Drosophila melanogaster: one gene and its partner. The protein of the gene in region 1 purifies or fractionates together with the protein of each later gene. This does not show direct contact. Each region holds a gene or a part of one and is shown in the gene's direction. Other genes may lie near its edges.

Region 1 (7,598 bases):
AGTAGGTTGCCCCACACTTTCGGGCACTTTTAAATTAAAAACAAAGCCGCGGGCCAGCCGGTTGATGTATTTGAGCTACATCTGTATGTACTTATTCCGTTAAGTGAATTAAATGAACTGCGCGAACGCGGATTTTTTTATTTTCCAATGCTTTTTCCCAAATTTATTTTACTTGATTTCGGATTGAGGACGAACGATGCTGCCCAGCGCAATAGCAATTTTGTTCACTTGTCTTCCTCTTCCTGCTTCGTCCAGTGCAGCAACAACACCAACACCCCCAGCAGCAGCAGCAACGGAGAGTCATGGCAAAGAGGCGAAAGCGAGTGTGCGAGTAACGGTCACGCGGCTGCGCGTGCGTTTGTATATCTATTGATTAAAAGTTCGCTCTGCTCTGGCCACTGCTTCCCCTTCTCCATCACCATCCCCATCCTCTTCTTATCCTTATTCCTTTTGGCAGTTCTCTCGTAATTGCTGCGCCCACTTTCCGCCGCCCCGCCCACATCGCTTCCGTCGCCGCCACCCAGCCCCGCAGACGCGCACACACCAACTGCAAAGTGCGTTTGCGTTTGTACAACGGCAAATGCAACAATAACACACGCACGCATACATCCACACAATAACGGAATAAATGAAATTCGCCAACAATTTGGCGTTCGAGCAAGTGACGAACGACGCCAAATGAAAACACTCCCTTTTTCGGGGGTACACAATTTTCCACAACAAACAAAGCCTAGTGCCGAGTGTATCGGCAAAAAATTCGAAATTATTACTTTTTGCTGCACTATTTTCAGTTGGCATTAATTCAATCAAGTTGTCGTATTTCTGGCGTATCTATTAAATTTCATTCGGGTTTGTATTGTTTTTGAGGCTAGGTTTGATTTTATGTTTTTGCAATATCGGTGCAAAGGCAACAAAACACACGAGCGAGGACCTTCACATTCCGAAGACTGGGCAAAGTATGAAAATTTCGTGTCGTTCAATTTGGTCACACCCTCTGGATTATGCTCACGATACGATGTTACTGTTTTTTCGCAGGACGAAAAGGACCCTTCGAAAAACCCGAACCCCATCCAATGTGACCGTTTTGAGCAAACTAACATAGTCCGAAGCGTTCGGCTCTCACAGATCAGCAAAAAGGAATTTATTATATTTAAGTCTTAAGGCACACATCAAATGTATAGTTAATCAAATTTAGTTTATACAAATTATATGTGTATTTCAATTTCTTTAAATAAATAATAAATAAATCAAAAACAAAAACCTTGGTTTCAATCACTTACTCCGTTAGTTTTCAACGTATTATTTGTAAGTCCATAGGACCATTTGAAACTAACGGCTCTGTTTTCAAAAAGAATCAAAAACTCCAAAACTTAAGTCGCTTTTAGCTCGGTTCCGGGAATTCAAAATAATTTTTAAATTAGCCACACCATTTTTAGACATTAACGGTCACACTCGACTTAAGCTCGTATAATACAGTGGTGGACGTACCGTTAAAAGCCATGCAAAATTAATATTTAAAGGCGAGAAACTCTATTTTGGTCACAAATGTAATTATTGCCGTATATGAACCAAATTTTTTAAGCCCACAAAGCTCCCCTTCTATATGATAAATCAGCTGCACCAAACCTACGAAGTGCAACGCGAGTGTGCCTTCTGTGATTTCCAACACTTTAGTGTTGCCTAACCCTCGTAAAATGCGCAGTGTGGCCAGTTCCGGCAACTGCATACGAAGGTGCGACCATGCCGTTTGCTCGGGTGAGCGGTGAACGGTCACCACTTAGTCTTCTTTTTTTTAGTGCAAAAAAAAAACAAAATAAAGAAGAAGAAACGAAAAACAGGGCCAGCAGCTTGAGCCCAAATATAAAACAAATATAACATTTTATGTGGTCAAAATGAGCGTGCTGCCGTTTGTGCGCGGTGTGGACTTTACGAAAAATGATTTCAGCGTGAGTACAACCAGCAAAAACAGTTGCAGCCTTGTTGTTTTTTCGGAGTGGTTCAGGTTCTAAAAAAAAAAGAAGCTAAGAAACAGGTCACCGAGAAGCACCTGAGCATTAGTCATAAGTGCGGAGCAGAGATAATCCCGAAATATGATTGATTCCATTGCAGGCAACATTCCCCAGCTCCATGCGGCAGATGTCGCGGGTGCAGTGGCTCACACTGGATCGCACGCAGCTGGCGGAGATTCCCGAGGAGCTAGGCCACCTACAGAAGCTGGAGCACCTGTCGCTGAACCACAACCGACTGGAGAAGATCTTTGGCGAGCTGACAGAGCTGTCCTGCCTGCGATCCCTCGACCTGCGGCACAATCAGCTGAAGAACAGCGGCATACCGCCGGAGCTGTTTCACCTGGAGGAGCTGACCACGCTGGACCTGTCGCACAACAAACTGAAGGAGGTGCCCGAGGGTTTGGAGCGGGCCAAGAACCTGATAGTCCTCAACCTGAGCAACAATCAGATCGAGAGCATACCCACGCCGCTGTTCATCCATCTAACGGATCTGCTGTTCCTGGATCTGTCGCACAATAGACTGGAGACACTGCCGCCGCAGACGCGACGTCTGATTAATCTGAAAACCCTGGACCTATCGCACAATCCGCTGGAGCTGTTTCAACTGCGGCAATTGCCCTCGCTGCAGAGCTTGGAGGTCCTGAAGATGAGCGGCACGCAGCGCACGCTCCTCAATTTTCCCACTAGCATAGACAGTTTGGCCAATCTCTGCGAACTGGACCTGTCGCACAATTCGCTGCCCAAGCTGCCAGACTGCGTCTACAATGTGGTCACTTTGGTGCGACTGAATCTGAGCGACAACGAGCTAACCGAACTGACTGCCGGTGTAGAGCTTTGGCAGCGTCTGGAGTCGCTGAATCTGTCGCGGAATCAATTGGTTGCGCTGCCGGCTGCCCTCTGCAAACTACCAAAGCTGCGACGATTGCTGGTGAACGACAATAAGCTAAACTTCGAGGGCATCCCCTCGGGCATCGGCAAACTCGGAGCTCTGGAGGTGTTTTCGGCAGCCAACAACCTGCTGGAAATGGTGCCAGAGGGACTCTGCCGATGCGGTGCTTTGAAGCAGCTCAACTTGAGCTGCAATCGGCTTATAACCCTGCCCGATGCCATTCACCTGCTGGAGGGCCTAGACCAGTTGGACTTGCGCAACAATCCGGAGCTAGTGATGCCGCCCAAGCCAAGCGAAGCGAGTAAAGCCACCAGTCTTGAGTTCTACAACATAGATTTTAGTCTGCAGACTCAGCTTCGGTTAGCTGGGGCTGCTGTGCCGCCTTCCATGCCATCGTCAGCAACGCCCAAGGATTCAACGGCGAGGAAAATACGTTTACGACGCGGTCCTCGCAGTGAAGGCGATCAGGATGCTGCCAAGGTGCTCAAGGGCATGAAGGATGTGGCAAAGGATAAGGATAACGAGGCGGGTGCTGTGCCCGAGGACGGAAAGCCAGAGTCGCTCAAACCTAAGAGATGGGACGAGTCACTGGAAAAACCGCAACTGGACTACTCCAAGTTCTTTGAGAAGGACGATGGCCAGCTGCCGGGCTTGACCATTTGGGAAATCGAGAACTTCCTGCCCAACAAAATTGAGGAGGTGGTGCATGGCAAATTCTACGAGGGCGACTGCTACATAGTCCTCAAGACCAAGTTCGATGACCTGGGCCTGCTCGATTGGGAAATATTCTTTTGGATAGGCAACGAAGCCACGCTGGACAAACGAGCTTGCGCTGCCATTCATGCAGTGAACCTAAGAAACTTTCTGGGCGCCCGATGTCGAACGGTTCGCGAGGAGCAGGGCGATGAATCCGAGCAGTTTCTGTCCCTCTTCGAGACGGAAGTCATCTACATCGAGGGCGGACGCACAGCTACTGGTTTCTATACCATAGAAGAGATGATACACATCACCAGATTGTATTTAGTGCACGCCTATGGCGCTACCATTCATCTGGAGCCAGTGGCTCCTGCCATTACCTCCCTGGATCCCCGCCACGCCTTTGTCTTGGATCTGGGCACCCATATTTACATTTGGATGGGCGAAAGATCGAAGAACACGCTGAACTCCAAGGCCAGGTTAATGGCGGAAAAGATCAGCAAAACGGAGCGCAAGAACAAATGTGAAATCCAGTTGGAGCGGCAGGGCGAGGAGAGTGCCGAATTCTGGCAAGGACTGGGCATGACCTCGGAGGAGGCAGACGCCGCAGAGCCACCAAAGGAGCACGTTCCAGAGGACTATCAGCCGGTGCAGCCTCGCCTCTACCAGGTGCAACTTGGCATGGGTTATCTGGAGTTGCCGCAAGTGGAGTTACCTGAGCAAAAACTTTGCCATACCTTGCTAAATAGCAAGCACGTCTACATACTCGACTGTTACACCGATCTGTTCGTTTGGTTTGGCAAGAAGTCGACGCGTTTGGTCCGAGCGGCCGCTGTCAAGTTGAGTCGGGAGCTCTTTAACATGATGGATCGTCCGGATTATGCGCTGGTGATGCGTGTACCCGAGGGCAATGAAATGCAGATCTTCCGAACCAAGTTCGCTGGCTGGGATGAGGTAATGGCCGTGGACTTCACGAGAACGGCGAAGTCGGTGGCCAAGACAGGGGCTAATCTCACACAGTGGGCTCGGCAGCAGGAGACGCGCACGGATCTTGCCGCGCTATTTATGCCCCGACAGTCGGCCATGCCATTGGCGGAGGCGGAACAGTTGGAGGAGGAGTGGAACTACGATCTGGAGATGATGGAGGCCTTTGTACTGGAGAACAAGAAGTTCGTCCGGCTGCCCGAGGAGGAATTGGGTCGCTTTTACACCGGCGAATGCTATGTGTTCCTCTGCCGCTATTGCATTCCCATCGAGGAGCCCGAGAATGGCTCCGAAGATGGTGCTAACCCAGCCGCAGACGTCAGTAAATCCAGCGCCAACAATCAGCCAGAGGACGAGATCCAGTGCGTCGTTTACTTTTGGCAGGGACGCAATGCCGGCAATATGGGATGGCTCACGTTTACCTTTACACTGCAGAAGAAGTTCAAGGCGATGTTCGGCGAGGAGCTGGAGGTGGTGCGGATCTTCCAGCAGCAGGAGAACCTCAAGTTCATGTCCCACTTCAAGCGGAAGTTCATCATCCACACCGGCAAGCGGAAGGACAAGGCGCACACCGCGAAGGGCAAGTCGCCAGTTGAGTTCTTTCACCTGCGATCGAACGGCGGTGCGCTCACCACTCGCCTTATCCAAATTAATCCGGATGCAGTGCATCTCAACTCAACCTTCTGGTGAGCAAATTACCAATAATTTATTACTGTGGGTGGTAATAATCACCCAGTTTTTTTTTTTGAGATGTATGACAAGTGCGATTTTATTGGATCAACATTCTTGTCTTATCGTTGGTTGAAACTGAAATTCCTGGAAGCCTACGTGATATGACACAGTATTATTTATATATATCCAAAAGATAGCGAACATAGTAGTAGTCGCTCCAATATTTATATTCCATACGCATTATTTCAGCTACATACTCCATGTGCCATTTGAAACGGAGGACGATTCGCAGTCGGGGATTGTGTACGTGTGGATAGGCAGCAAGGCCTGCAACGAAGAGGCCAAACTGGTGCAGGATATTGCCGAGCAGATGTTCAACTCGCCGTGGGTGAGCTTACAGGTGGGTTCCATGTGTTAATGTGGTTCAACCATGTAGTGGGCTGTTTTGTGGAATATATTGTACATATGTTTATATTAAGGTACACGCTCTTGTTAATCGTTTCTTTTCATCCATCCTTTGCAGATTCTCAACGAGGGCGACGAGCCGGAGAACTTCTTCTGGGTGGCGCTGGGCGGCCGCAAGCCTTACGATACGGACGCCGAGTACATGAACTACACGCGGCTGTTCCGGTGCTCCAACGAGCGCGGCTACTACACGGTGGCCGAGAAGTGCGCCGACTTTTGCCAGGACGATCTGGCCGACGACGATATCATGATCCTGGACAACGGCGAGCACGTCTTCCTGTGGATGGGACCGCGTTGCAGCGAGGTGGAGGTGAAGCTGGCCTACAAGTCCGCCCAGGTCTACATCCAGCACATGCGGATCAAGCAGCCGGAGCGGCCGAGGAAGCTCTTCCTCACGATGAAGAACAAGGAGTCGCGCCGTTTCACCAAGTGCTTCCACGGCTGGAGCGCCTTCAAGGTGTATTTATAATTTTAGCCAACTGAAGGAGCATCGTCGAGTAGTTCTTTTAAATTTCCCTAATTCATGCACCGCCGCTATGTGGCCATTTAGGTCTCCGCAAGGAAAGCGCCTAAAAGGCGCTAGTTTTTGTCTTGCTTGTCTCGATTGGCGCCTTCGAGTCCCTGTCAGAGCTAGTGAATCGGCCTCGGGAAGTGCATTTATTAACCAGAAGTCGAAGAGCACGCCTGCAATGTGAGTTTAGTTTTATGAAATGAATAGAGGCACCTTAGAGGTGTTACCCACTAATCTTAGCCCGTTAGAGGAGCCCCATCGAGTTGTAAATTGGTCATTAAGCATTAAGTTAGACCTCTGTTAGCCGGATGCGAATGTTGTTCGCTGGGAAGATGCGCTGGGCAGCTGCCGTGACAGAGTAGCTGCCCCAGAAGACATGACAAAGCAAAATTGTATCGAGGGAAAAAGAATGAAAGGGCCAAGCCAAGCCCTTCCTTCAGGTCGTGAGTGAAGATCGTGTGTTTGTACTTTTATAAAATGTATTTAATTGTTTTGTATAATTAATTTAAATTTTTTTATTAGCTCACTTGCTCCCGCCCCTAACTAAATAATTAGCTAACTCCAAGAACGCCAAGTATTCGCCCACTCCCTGCGAGAAAACCACATGAGTATATTGAATGCAAATATACATACATATGTATGTATATCACATATGCCTACAAATACGCAATATATATATATATATATATATATACATACGCTGAGCTGAGAGGATTACTCCCCTGTGCTAGTCCTTTTAAAATGTTAACCTACTTAAAGCTAGCCTGTAATAAAGTCAAGGAAGCACTAAAACTAATTGTACAAATGCCCACGTATTTATTTTATTTTTATTAATCCCCTGAATAAACATTAGAAAAATTGAAATTCCTCTATTCGTGTCGCGGATTGAAGGAGGTATTGGAATAGATTTAATTAAGTTATGTGCTAATTTTTCGGCAAAAGATACATATAACATATCAGAATAGCACATATCAGCACATTATTGTTAGTTCGCTGCTATTATATTGGCCTCAGCTGTATCTGCGGTTAGCGAGTGCACCCACCGCAGTTAGCACGTGCCAGCACCTTATTTGGCGAATTCGCCACCATGTGTATCGATATGTCGATGGCAGGCGCTATCGATTTTGATGGATGTTCTCAAAGCGTGTTCGGCGCGGTCACACTGGTGGTTTATTTTATTCCGAAAACTATTTGTAATTTAACTCAAATTAAGTGAAAACAGCATGCCAGATGCCGAGCAACTACCGGACGGCTGGGAGAAGCGCACTAGCCGCTCCACAGGTAAGCATCGTGTGCAGTCCCGCTCGTGCCATGCCGGCGGTTTTCCGGCGGAATGCGGAACCGGCACGCTAAACTGAACCTGCACTTGATT
Region 2 (5,880 bases), 5.5 Mb from region 1:
GGCTGAGTGGATTTAGGATAGCAGATCGTTCGGCAGCTTTGAATATGGTATTAAAATGCGTGCTTTGGCCGGAGTCGACCACATAGATGATCCAATCGCAAAGCTCCTCCTCCAAGCGATGGCGAATGGCTGCCATGTCAGAGGTATCATAGGTAAAGCCGCCATCCGATTTCACGATTGTCAGAGGTATGCCAGTTTTCGTATCGTCTGGCCACATGATCTCGCGTCCTTCATCCACTTCCAGCAGACCCTTGCCTCGCAAGTATTCCACAACGGACAGCATACGTGATTGGTAGAACGATTCCCCCCGTTCCTTGACGCTAATATCTAATCGTTCGTAGATCGTTTGGAACTCCTTTCGCGACACATTGCAAATTAGCTCCCACGCCTTAATGGAGTTCGGCACACCTTTCTGCAATGAAACCACTCGACTGTAGGCACGTTTTTTGAACTCCTCATCTTCATCGAATCTGCAAGGAAGTATTATTTACCTCGAGCACATCGTAATTACTTCGTAATGTTACAAGTCTTACCGCTTCTTGGATTCCTTGTAGAACAATTGCAGATCACTGATCGGAGGGCTTTCATTTAGGTAGTTGGGGAAACGATCTTCCAAATGGGCAATCAGCATGCCAAACTGTGTTCCCCAGTCACCCAGGTGGTTGATGCGGATCACATCGTGCTGCAGGAACTCCAGCAAGCGGCATAACGACTCGCCAATGATCGTGGACCGCAAGTGACCGACATGCATCTGTTTGGCAATGTTGGGCGATGAAAAGTCGACCAGGACTCGCTTTTTGATCACTTCTGGCGGCTTGACACCGTTACGCAATAGATTGCTTAAGGCTAAAGATGCATAATCTCTGCAAAAATTAACATTTTTAATGTTTATAATGGACTTTGTGTACTTATGCCACTCACTTGCTAAGGAACACGTTTACGAAGCCAGCTCCGGCAATTTCCAGCTTTTCAATGATTGGTGATGCTGGGCAGTGTCCTTTCAACTCGGTTGCAATATCACGTGGTGCTTTATTAATGCCCTTCTCTTTCAGCTTCTTGGACAATCCCATGGCATTGTTGCACTGATAGTCGCCGAATTTCGCAGACGTACTATTAACTGGTGCAATTATAACAGGCGTATCTCTGAATTCCGGGAAAGCTGATGCAATCGCCTGGCGAAAGACGCTTTCCAGGTGTTCGGTGATCGAAGAGGATTCCTTGGGCTTCGAAACGTCGCCGCCGGCGGCAGTTGATTCCTCAGCAATGGACTAACAGGGAAATAAAAGACATGAAATTCTTAAGCTTAAACACATTGGGGGTCATAAACTCACCTTCTTTAGGATAAACAGGCGGTTCTTCAGCTTCTTATTTTCAATTTGAAGCTGAACAAGATCGACGTCCAACTGTTCACCGCTTTTGGCAGTTTGTATTCTGGCGGCAAGGCCTTGGGTCTTCAGTTCCTTTAAAGCCGGCATGTCATGTCAAAATGTTGGCGTAAAGTAACAGCTATTCGCTTACCAGCTCCCTGAGTTTTTTCAGCTCCATATTTAGCTCGGACATGTTTCCAAATTGTGACTTCTGTTGCTCCGCTGATTAATAACAACAACACAACGATGCCACATGGATGGCAAGTAGTGTGCACACGTCGCCTATCGATAACGATAACAGCTGGTGATGTCACGCCTCACAGTCACTTCTAGGATGTCGTTTTTCCCACTGGCATTTAAAAGATTTTCTCATTTGACAGTTAAACTATGCAACAGACAAATTGTATTGTGTGTGCATTTTAAAATCACCTCTAAAATTGTAGATGTCGGTATGTATGGCAGGCTTTTTATGGCACATTTGAGAGCATTGCTTAGATAAATGTCAGCTGTGTGCGGTGGAAAAATCGCATCGGGTTCACATAGCACTTATGATTTTTATCGATAGATCGACTTATCGACCACCTCTATTATGATTAATTGTGATTGTTCTTTCGCTTAAGGTGTCTCTTAAAACTTTTTATGTGTATGTGTGTTTAATTAATTTATAGATTTTGTCACCTTTGTGTAAATACCTATAGTCTAGTGGGGCCGCAACCTAAACTCTTTGATGTGTGCTACACACAGTCCCCGAAAGATACGTGCGTGAAAACTTGGGAAAACAGATGTGTGTAACGCCGCTCCCATTAAAATTAAAACTGCAATGCAGACGGTTTTTTTTTGTTTTACAAATATAAATAGTGGATAAAAACATATTCACCGGGAACGACGGACGGATACATCCTATTTATAAACAGGAGATAAACTAGTTTTCTTGCATCTGTGCCACCAAATTGCCAAGTGTCGATGGGGAATTTGTAAAAGTTAAAAAAGAAAAAACCATTATGCAGCGCAATGCAAAAAAAAAGTTTACTTTATTTTCATCATCTGATACGCATTTTATCTGCATGTTCGCTTGCTTGGTGACAATGGGACTATATATTCACCGGTTTTTATATAAGTGAGTCAGCTCTGCTAGATAACAAAGTGCGTTCCGATGATAAGGTATCCATTATCATACCACACACGATCATCAATTAGGACATTCCAAAATGTTTACCAATATAGGAGGTTTCAACGAGCTGGACACCGAAAGAGCAGCACCAGAAATGCTGTCTCTGCAATTATTATATTTATTTATAAGTTAGTGGCTGAATTCAATGGACTTTTCTTTGGAATTATCGCAATATGATCCTTGTTATCACTTTCAATGGGTTCAAATCGAAACTGAATTCTTAGTGCATTCTTATAGACTTGAAACTAACAAGTTGCTTCTTTTTAGCGTGCGATCGCTTGCGATTAATATATAAAATATAGTTAAATTGAGCACAGATTCAATGGAAAGTATCAGCACCACAGGTCGGCGACGGAACAACATGCGAATCAATGCCGAAGACAATGCGCTGGATCAAATTACGAAAGAGGTGTGTATTTTACATCCCAAAACATAGCATTCAATGTAAATATTAAAATTGTTACTATCAACTGCGATTTGTACGTGCTCGGTTAACACAAGAGAATTACAGCCGCAAAGGGTCGCATAATTGAAACTCTATCAATTAGTTGATTTAAATGAAACTGATTCCCTTCTTTTCAGGCGGAAGCGCGACTTGCTGCGCGTCGACAGGCGCGCGCCGAAGCCCGCGAGATTCGCATGAGGGAGCTGGAGCGGCAGCAGAAAGAGCAGGAGATCACCGCCGACCGGGTCTTCGACATGCAAAACTCCACGGCAGTGGGCAGCGAAACTCTGTCGGCGCATCCCGTGCGCCTCGCCTACGGCGGACTGTTAAACGTGACCCGTGCATCAGCATCCCGCCGCAGCAGTGAGGACTCCGTGGAGGAGGAGGGCAGAAGTTTTCGCGACTTCAAGCACGAGCTTAAGGTGGGTGCTGACATCGCAGCCATCACTTCGATGTGATTTAAGTGGTTCTGCTTTCAGGATGTTGAGGAGCGGTTTCGCAAAGCCATGATAACGAACGCCCAGTTGGACAACGATCGCGCCTCGCAGGCCTACGAAGTCAAGCTACTGAAGGACAAATGCGAAATAATGGAAGAGTCGTATGCACAACTACAGCGCGAGTTCAAGGAGAAGATGCGTGACTGCAATGCCCTCAAACGCAACCTGGATCGCGCCAATCTCGAGCTTAAGCTAGTACAAGGGCAGTTAAACGAGCGCGACTCGTTGATCGCCGAACAGGGCCTTCTAATTGTAGCAGTTGAAAATGCCGATGGCAGCGATGCCAAGCGAGCTCTAGTGAGTGTCGAGAATGCCAAGGTGCTGGCCTCCGTGCAGGGTTCTTTAGGTGATTATCCCCCATTTGCACCTGGATGAGATCATTTAACAACAGTTCGAGTTCTTTGCAGACGTTAGACTTAAAAAGTTCAGTGACGAGAAGCAGCGGCTGCTGGCGGAGGTGCAGAAGCTTCACGAACAACTTGACGAGTATAAAAGTGATGGAATTTCCGGACGCCGCAGTCTTTCGCAAGGTTCCTTCGGCGATGAGAATGATTACGAGGCCCAACGTACGTGTACCATACTTACTTAATGCCAACTAAACTTTCAGCATGTAAAGTGCACCGCAGTGATTATCTTTTTTATAACTAGCAGCCCTTTTTGGCAGCACACAATAACTAACCGAGTCTTGCTCAAATTTGAACGATATTCAAATCGTATTATTTGTAGTTTTTATTATTTGATAACATGGCTTCAAGCAATATATATATATATATATATCATTTATATTTCCGATCGCATTGATCGGCCACATTCTCTCGCACTTTTGTGTATCTCCATATATCTTCAGTTTTTTAAAACAATAAATTGTATATAACTATTGCAGTTTGGCACTATAGGACTGCAACATATTTGTACTATATTACGAGCCCTTCCTTTTTCTTATACTATCCGACAGGGGAAACAAACAAAATCATTTCAGACCATAAATATAAGCTGCAAAAGGCGGAACAGGAAATCGCCAACCTACAGTCGAGCCTAGCGCGCTCCGAAACTCAAGTAATCCGATACAAAAGCACCGCAGAAGCTGCCGAAAAGGCGGAGGCTGAGCTGAAGCTGGAGCGCCGCAAGCTGCAACGCGAGGTGAGTGGTGGGAATGCCAAGCGAAATGAGCAGTTTATGATCTAGCTAATCCATTTCGCAGCACCGGGAACTCTTGGAGAAGTTGGAGGAAGCTGAAACGTCCAACAACCATTTGTTGAAACGCCTCGATAAGTTGAAAAACGCAAAGAGTGCCATTCTAAAGGACTTATGATCTAAGATGGGAAATGCAATCTCGCCAACCATTGAAGGATCGCACCCGATGACATAGGAAACGCAAGTACACGACATCATCAACACACAAATCAACATGCTGCAATTGAAATAGCACTTCGGTAGCAATTTAATCGGTCTTAGTGGTAGCAAATCGATAATTTTTGAAGGATAATCCAAAATACTCTACCTTAAAAATATATATATATATATATTTAAATTAAAATATAAACTAACTGGATAATAATTAACATAAATAATGTCTATATGTGTATATTTAAAGCGCAAAATATAAGTAACAATTCAATTGGTTCAGCATTATGTGTATAAAATCATTCTATACAAATATGCGTTGACAAAATTATAGCAAGAAACCTATCACTGATCCCAATTAAAAGGCTTCTGGTGAACCTGACCAATAGTTCTTTTCAAAATTACAATATTCTATTGAGTCTATATTTAAATCTTTGCTAGAAGTCCGTTTCATCGGTCGCGATCTCTAAACGGAACGCCCAAATAAATGCCACATTTAAGAACAATTAAAATCATCGTGTTTAAATAAATTACATTTATTTAATTTTATTTATTTTTCATGATTTTACAACATTGCAGCTTCGGCGGATCTTAGTTGTTGCGAATCATTCTCGAGTGGCCACTGAAAAGCATCTAGGATTCCGATTGGGTTTGACGCTCTGCGGACAGAAAAATGGCAATAATCAGCATTTGCTTTGGATAATAGTTTTTCATCACAAAGAAATAGTTAATAGTTGGTCGCTTGTAAACTTTTGGGGCGGGCAATTTTGGGATATATATATGTATATTAATATAAACATTATATTATATGTAAACACATCGCATTTGCATGCAGATCAGCTTGTAAGCGTAGTTAGAAACTTTGGGAACAAAGTTAGATACATAAACTGTCGTTGAGTTTAATGCGAACGCTGGGATAATTTGGGTTTTGTCTGCCGCGGCAGGCACTTACGCCAGTTTTTAAATTATTAATTTGACGATGGAACACCTAAGCCCTTTCATCTGAAAAATATATTCAAATATGACGCAATATGAAACATAAATTCTATTACTTTA

Evidence for each region.
Region 2: the proteins of fliI (region 1) and CG8578 purify together in Drosophila melanogaster (affinity purification with mass spectrometry, with the first as the bait; 2 studies listed by BioGRID). This does not show direct contact.

Annotation. Positions count from the first base shown.
Region 1 is NC_004354.4:21,338,002-21,345,599, forward strand, and holds fliI (flightless I), read left to right. Parts: upstream 1-1,739; 5' UTR 1,740-1,892; coding exon 1,893-1,946; intron 1,947-2,109; coding exon 2,110-5,264; intron 5,265-5,499; coding exon 5,500-5,650; intron 5,651-5,773; coding exon 5,774-6,184; 3' UTR 6,185-7,087; downstream 7,088-7,598. Other genes in the region: dod (dodo), read left to right, coding at 7,450-7,507. UniProt on the Drosophila melanogaster protein: May play a key role in embryonic cellularization by interacting with both the cytoskeleton and other cellular components. Alternatively, it may play a structural role in indirect flight muscle. Vital for embryonic development.
Region 2 is NC_004354.4:15,842,522-15,848,401, forward strand, and holds CG8578 (uncharacterized protein), read left to right. Parts: upstream 1-1,954; 5' UTR 1,955-2,010; intron 2,011-2,115; exon of another isoform or gene 2,116-2,151; intron 2,152-2,805; 5' UTR 2,806-2,860; coding exon 2,861-2,947; intron 2,948-3,120; coding exon 3,121-3,405; intron 3,406-3,462; coding exon 3,463-3,826; intron 3,827-3,887; coding exon 3,888-4,046; intron 4,047-4,435; coding exon 4,436-4,620; intron 4,621-4,681; coding exon 4,682-4,792; 3' UTR 4,793-5,337; downstream 5,338-5,880. Other genes in the region: ArgRS (Arginyl-tRNA synthetase), read right to left, coding at 1-470, 534-863, 922-1,268, 1,332-1,460, 1,519-1,560; sun (stunted), read right to left, coding at 5,458-5,483.